Linked DNA regions of Sus scrofa. The protein of the gene in region 1 binds, or shares a complex with, the protein of each later gene. Links are inferred from orthologs where the notes say so. Each region holds a gene or a part of one and is shown on either strand. Other genes may lie near its edges. The genes, in order: GNAI3 and RGS8.

Evidence for each region.
Region 2: the proteins of GNAI3 (region 1) and RGS8 are in contact, whole or in part, in a crystal structure (PDB 2ODE), measured with the Homo sapiens proteins. The link is inferred for Sus scrofa from reciprocal best matches to the Homo sapiens genes GNAI3 and RGS8. Residues at the interface, in NP_006487.1 of Homo sapiens: Glu65, Gln68, Ser75, Val179, Lys180, Thr181, Thr182, Gly183, Ile184, Val185, Gln204, Ser206, Glu207, Lys209, Lys210, His213, Ala235, Glu236, Asp237, Glu238; in NP_001095920.1 of Homo sapiens: Thr76, Glu77, Phe78, Ser79, Glu81, Asn82, Ala117, Pro118, Glu120, Val121, Asn122, Ile123, Asp124, Phe125, Gln126, Arg128, Leu153, Lys156, Asp157, Ser158, Arg161, Arg164.

Annotation. Positions count from the first base shown.
Region 1 is NC_010446.5:110,540,703-110,544,521, forward strand, and holds part of GNAI3 (guanine nucleotide-binding protein G(k) subunit alpha), read right to left. Parts: intron 3,010-3,819; coding exon 2,881-3,009; intron 1-2,880. UniProt on the Homo sapiens protein: Heterotrimeric guanine nucleotide-binding proteins (G proteins) function as transducers downstream of G protein-coupled receptors (GPCRs) in numerous signaling cascades.
Region 2 is NC_010451.4:123,955,893-123,959,482, reverse strand, and holds part of RGS8 (regulator of G-protein signaling 8), read left to right. Parts: intron 1-1,134; coding exon 1,135-1,317; 3' UTR 1,318-3,590. UniProt on the Homo sapiens protein: Regulates G protein-coupled receptor signaling cascades, including signaling via muscarinic acetylcholine receptor CHRM2 and dopamine receptor DRD2.

The DNA.
Region 1 (3,819 bases):
AAAAAAAAAAAATTCTCATTTTAGATAAACAGTTGAGCTTCCTCATTACCAAAAACTTGTATCATACATACCAAAAGTCAGTAGAGTAAGCACTGAAATGGATTAATGAAAGGAGGGAAAAAAGACCAGAAAAATAAAGAGATGAATGATAAAACTCGAGGTAGTAACCATAATAACTACTGTTTGAGTGTTTACTGGTGCCAGACACTATCCTAAACATCCTGAAGTACATTAACTCATTTAACCCTCATAACACTCCCGTTAGTACTGTTACTATCCCAGATGAAGAAACTGAGGCACAAAGATGTTAAATAATTTACCTAAGAGCACACTACTAACAAATGGGGACTGGAACTCTAACTCCAGTAACCAACTCTTACCCATCACACCACTCTGCCTTTCAAAATGGTTTATCTCTCTAATAAAAAAAAAGAACAATGAAAAAATATAAATCCCCAACTTGCTTTCTGCTTCCAGATTCAAAAGTTTGTTTTCCCTTTTTTTTTTAATTGAGATATAATTGAAATACATTTTTCTTACTTTAAGGAAAACGTTTTAGAGATTATGGAAAAAAGTAAATTATATTTTAGGATAAGACTCTAAGAACCTAATATCTAAACCCAAAACTTAAACCGTATTTTCTAACTCCAAGTTTTATTTTAACCTAATCAATAACAACAAAGCTTCAATTGTTCACGCACTTTATGTTCCACTCGAGGTTAGTGTTAGTCCACTATTCCCTTCAGGGTGGGGGGCGCTTACTTGCTATTAGGAATCAGCTGCTGAACTTCTGTCAGCAGTGTCCTCATCTACCATCTAGAGTAAGAGGAGGACCTGCACTGCTTTGTCTTTTAACTAGTACTAGGAGGTATGCATACAAATGATTAGCTACTCTTAAGACATATGTTTGATGACAATCATAAAATGTTTTAAGTGTAAACTCTGCCAAGCTGGTTCATTGTACCAGATCTATAGTGACTAGGAGTCTATTGCCAGAGAATTTTCTCCTTAGAGAGTGAGAGAAATAAGACACTGTTGAATAATTTCTCAATGTATGTTTGAAAAAGAATAGTCATCTCATCTCTCCATGACCCAACTTTTTCTTTTGGCTGATCTTACGCAGTTCTTTTCAACCTTTAGTCCTGACACCCGGAATGAGGCACTCATAAACTGGTTCTAATACAAGGTCATACCATATATAGGTTTTAGGAAAGCTAAGATTATATATTTCGCCACGGATCTTTCAAGGGGAGACACATACTGGTACACCATTAATTTCATTTTGCTTCTCCATTTTTTTCTATAAAGTCCATAAAACTGAACCCTGTGAAGTTCCCAAGGTGGGCTTTCCACACATATTAACATTTACAGTATCATTCACTAACAGATCAACATTTTATAAACATTACCTCATAACTGAGAGGCAAGTAAGCAATTACACAATGCCTTGCATATAGGAGATGCTCAATAAATGTTTGAATAAATGGATAGTGGTTTTGCCTAGAGAGAAGAGGAAAAGGAAGAAATGATAGTACTTCATAACAGATATCTATATGCCAGCAATAAAGTGGGTGCAGCACCTTAATTAGATCTGGCTATTTATCCTGACATAAAAAGACCAACAGGATTTACCTACCTAAAGATCAATCTATGACATCAACAAAAAAGTTTCCCACACTAAATAAATAAAAGTCACAACATATAATTATAAATGGATTACTAACCTTATAGCACACAAAGAGATATCTCATTCTTTCAGTTTCTTGGGTGATGATTTATGGAGCCTTTGCTACTTTTATTAAATAAATTCATCAGTATAAGCGGTTCCTCTATTCTAAAAATATTCAGCTGAACTGCTATTTTCCTGTATCAATTTTCAAATCTGTTTTGGTGTATTAAGATTTTAAGACCTCAACTAGTATTTAATAATACCTAAAGTCTGTGTGAATTTTGCAAATCCCACGAAGCAATTTTTTTCAAGAGAAAATAGAGAATCTGAGCTAGAAGTTACATTTGCATGCAACAGTGCTGAATATCGCATTCTACATACAAGCATAATGAAGCAGCTAAAAAGGACATCATACACTGAAGGGGAAAAGTTTACTCCTAACCTCAAAGGTCACAAAAGCAGAAGACAGGAACCATAAAGACAGTTCTATTATTTACATAAGACTGTTGACGCAGAGACAAGCTGAAGCTAGAATTACTAATGCTGATGAGAAAATCCACTGCATTAGAATACAAGAATTTTCTCTCTCTATAACAATAATTGTTTACATGTCATCATGCCTCTCCAAAATACCTCTAGCCCCAGATCAATATTCATTCTGCACTGTATTAGGAAGCTGGTTGTGCATAATACTTACTGTGTACAAACCAAAGGCCACGACAATATTAGCACCGTCCCATTAAACTTAAAGTGTGATCCAAGAAATGACTGACCCTGATAAAAAGCACTTCTACTTTAACATCAAAATGCCAGAACAAAGCCACATAATTAAACCAAAACACTGGTTTTCTATCTTTTTAGTATTGTTGTTACCCTTCTAAACAACAAACATTCAATACCTGTTTTGGTGATTCCAACAAAAAAGCAGCTGAAAAGAATAAAATTAAAAATAAAATAAATTGGTAACCATGTGATTACTTTTATTGACATGTAAGTTACAGTTTCATTTTGAATTTAAATTCCTGCAAATGGACAAAAATATTTGATGCTATTTAAAGAAAGAAGAAATGTTTACATTGACACTTAAAATAGTCAAATACTGGCTGATGAACATAAGTTTCTAAATCAAGGAATACTGCCTAGAAAAATGTTACCCTGATGAAGAGACTAACTAGAGCAAAGATACATCTAGGAAGAGGCTAAGGACTTACTTGAAGTACAGGTCTTTGAAAGTGAAGTGTGTCTCCACAATGCCTGTGGTCTTCACTCTTGTCCGCAGGACATCTTGCTGAGTTGGAATGTAGTTGGTTTGGGATATTCTATCCAAATCATTTAGGTAACTAAATAAGTAAAATACAAATTTATTTTATTTAGTAAAGCCAACCATACACACAGCAAGTCCATAGACTAAACTCATTCCTTGCCAAAAGTGAATTCCGAATCTGTCACTAAAGTGGCAGAACAAATCAGATCTTCAATATCATAGAAATAATGAGGAAAAAGTGAACCAAACATAGGACAATTAAAGTAGTTTTTATATACACTACAATAAAGTGGTTTTAATTTTACCAAAATTAAACTGTGAAAGCCAATTTAAAACAACATGGAAATGCTATTCTTATTAAAGATCCCTGAAATTTAATATTAAGTCAACTAGGCACAGCCTACTTATAAAACCCTAACCAAAACAAAAGCCTTCAGACATTTAAAGTTAATGGGTCATTCGTATGTTTAAACATTTGCTAGGACATTAGAAAATAGCTATCTGGATTACTAGAATTAAAAAGAACTAAGCTCAATAAGAATGAGTATCTCCTGTTTTCACTCAAGAAAAAAAAAAAGCTGTAGGTTTAATTTTTTAAAAACCTATGCCGGAGTTCCCGTCGTGGCGCAGTGGTTAACGAACCCGACTAGGAACCATGAGGTTGCGGGTTCGGTCCCTGCCCTTGCTCAGTGGGTTAATGATCCGGCGTTGCCGGGAGCTGTGGTGTAGGTTGCAGACGCGGCTCGGATCCTGCGTTGCTGTGGCTCTGGCGTAGGCCGGTGGCTACAGCTCCGATTCAATCCCTAGCCTGGGAACCTCCATATGCCGCGGGAGCGGCCCAAGAAATAGCAACAATAACAAAAGACAAAAAAAAAAAAAAAAAAAA
Region 2 (3,590 bases), on another chromosome or scaffold:
TACCACTTGCTTGCTGTGTGACCTTTGTCAAGTTACCTAGTCTCTCTGAGTCACATTTACCCTGATGTAAAAGGGTACAATATTACCTACCTTTTAAGACTACTCTGAGTATTAGGGATCAAACACCTATTCAATATTGGTCATGTTTATTAAGGAGTTATTACAGTTATTTGTATTATTTTGTGATAATTTATTATAACCACTTATATAATAATATGACTTTCTAGGTACTGCTATTCTGAGTTATAAAACAGAGTTTTACCCAGGAAGGTTTTTTTTTTTTTTTTTTTTTGTCTTTTTTTGCCTTTTCTAGGGCCGCTCCCACTGCACATGGAGGTTCCCAGGCCAGGGGTTGAATTGGAGCTGTAGCCACCGGCCTACACCACAGCAATGCAGGATCCAAGCCACATCTGTGACCTACACCACAACTCATGGCAACGCTAGATCCTTAACCCCCTGAGCAAGGCCAGGGATCGAACCCGCAACCTCATGGTTCCTAGTCGGATTCGTTAATAGGACAGGAACTTCCCGGGAAGGTTTTATAGAAGAAAAATATCTGCTGTCTATGCGTTGTGATGCATTACATACCTAGACCTCTTCGATTCTGCTTTGACTTGGGATAGAGGAGGGCTTTGGCCAGTGGCCAGAATGCTCTGGGCTCCTGTTAATGCTGGCTGGACAGAGATGCACATTCTAAACATCATCTTTCTCCTTGGGGCATGTTTCCTTAGTGACTGAGGAAGAAGGAAAGGTCAAACTTGCCTTAGGGACCCCGCATTAATGCTTGTCTCCAGATTAACTCTTTACCTGACAGTGGTGAAGACCTCTGGATTAGGAGTTGAGGACTTTGGGATTTTGCCCTAGGTATTTCCCATGGTGTCTTAGACCAGCTTTTTCATATCTCTGTCTTCAGTATCCTTACTTTTAAATTCGGCAAAGAGTATCTGGTCTTCAAACCTCACGAGGCTCCTCCTGGGATCGAAAGGGATGGGTGACCTTCAAGAAAGCGGTTTGAAAAGCCTGAATAACCCTGCGTATTTAAGATGCTATCATTAATAATTATGCTGTAGGACCAGCTGCCAGGTGGCTTGGCCCTCGAGGGCCTGTGACTATGCTGTCTGTTTGTGTCTCCAGGTAAACATAGACTTCCAGACCCGAGAAGCCACAAGGAAGAACATGCAAGAGCCGTCCCTGACGTGCTTTGACCAAGCCCAGGGAAAAGTACACAGTCTCATGGAGAAAGACTCTTACCCCCGGTTCCTGAGGTCTAAAATGTACTTAGATTTGCTGTCCCAGAGCCAGAGGAGGCTGAGTTAGACCTCAGATGGGGACTCTTGGAGATTCACCGGCTTTCCCCTCCCCTTGCTGCCAAGACCATATTCTAATGTGAAATGTCATAGGTATTCAAAAGCAGTGGCATTGCGGTTGGGAGGCTGGGAGTGAGGAAGGGATGAAGGGCCATTCCAGAGTATGATTCAGCCACCAGAGCTCGGACTCTATTCCATTTACCCACGTTTGTGTCTTGGTTAGTGGTAGCACCTTGTCACCGTCACCCTTCTCAGGTCGGCAGCTTGCCCTCCATCCTGCCTTGGGTCACTGCCCCTGAGAAGGCACATTTGCTCTGCTGGGCTACTCTGTAAATAGTGCAAATGCAGTTTCCACCACGTCCACACCCTCCTCAGTTAGGATTCCCGACTCTCTAACGTGTCCTGTCGCCCTGTGAGAAAGAGCTAGAAGACGCCGGCCCACTCTTGTGATTTGCTGTCACAGTGGAATGGCCAGTCCTGGGCGCTGGGCCTCACAGTTTAGGAGAGAGGTCTCGGTGGAATCCAGGTTGTTAGCGTTGTTGCTGACAGGTGGCCTCTGAGGGAAGGGGCACGCTCCATGGAGTTGGCTGTTTCTTCCATTTCCGTAGGACGAGTGTGTAAAGCTGGGCTCCCTGCCCGTCTCAGCCTAGGAAATTTACAAGACTCCCATCCTCTTGCATCTCCAGAAAGCATCTTGCGAGATGTCCCTCAATGACTTCTGATGTGGAGCTGCTGTTAAGAAAGATTCAGCTTGCAAATCTTCCTCCATTCTACCAAGAAGTTTTCCAGAAGTTGAATGAGCCGGGGATGTAGCCCCAGTGGACTTTTGTGCAGTGGGGCACTGTGTAACCTCTCTCTTGCTTAATGCCCTCACCCTCCTGTGGCATCATGCTTCACTGATCTCTTAGACTAATGGACAGCTTGGTAAAGGCAGGTGAATTCCCGCAGCACGGACAGCTCTCACGGTGCCTAGTACTTTCCCTGTCTCTCCCTCTTCCCCCTTCCATGCAGGTCATGTAATTATGATGGGGGAGAATGGGGACTTAGGCTGTACCTCTCTTTCCTGCTTGCTTCCTGGGAGCATGCTTTCTAGGAAAGGTCCCTCGCTCGAGGGCCGTCTTGGCCGATCAGCAGCTTCCGTCTTGGTCGCTGACTTTGGGGAACTGAACATGGAACAGGAGGTGAGGCTAAGATCACTGTGAACCTCTGGGTGTGGAGAACCTTCCTAAAATGGCTTCGTGGTGCCCTGGCGCCGCTCTTAGAAATACGTCGGGAAAATCTCCTTTGGAGGATGAGCGAGATGCAGGAAACCTATTCCAGCTGCCCAGGCAAAAGCTCGCTTTGGCCCAAGACTGCAGTGCTGAGAAGATGAAACCTCAGCAGAGGGGCCAGAAAGCAGAAGAGGAGGCTGGACTCCAGGTGGACTGAATCACGGAGAACGTGCTGGAGGTACCATTGGCGTGATTCACAGCCGCTGGATTTGGATTCACGGCAGAGCTCGCAAACCTTCAGCTTGACGAAAGCAACGAGCACCAGCTGAGGCATCCGTGCTGGAGTGCAGGGAACTGAGACCTGGCCTGAATCCTTTCCTCCCGTCGAGTGGGGGTTGGGGCCCTTTTCGATACACCAGAGTTCCAGTGTGCATCCCGATCCAGTAACTTCCTGAATCTCTTCCTTCCTTGGCCCCCGCTAGACAAGGCCAAGAAGGCTCTTGAGTCCCACTGGCTGTTAGGGTCCCCCGCCCTGCCGTATATCTGTGCGTATCTGCGAGCGAGGGTTGGTGGGTCTGCACGAACCATCGAGAAGCGAGAACGCAGGCCTCCTGAAGGGACCTGTGGAACGCCACATTCGGAGCTCCGCAGCCTCATTCGGGTGTTCCTGGTTAGATCAGGTAGGAGTCCCCTGTCCCCACAGGTGAAAATCCATCCTTAGCTTAAGCTGCCAGAATTAATTTAACGATCAGAGTCTCAAACAGGGTATTTTAAACGTTGTTTACACACGAAACGTGCATCTGCTGCCAACTCTGCTGTCGAACACGAGGTGCATATCCATTGGAACAGTCCAGAGTTAGGGAAACACGAAACATTCTAAGAGCAGCCTTGTCGCCCCTGCCACTGCCCCAGGAGAAGAGTCTGAACAGGAGCGTTGGGTGGTGGCCTCATTTGAGGCCCAAGTTCTTGCCAACTGTAGTGGCTCGAAGGCTGCAGAGGGCGGTGTCACGGCGCCTGGTAACTCCCTCCCTCGGTGGGGGCTCATGAAGGACCAGGCTTGGGGAGCCCGAAA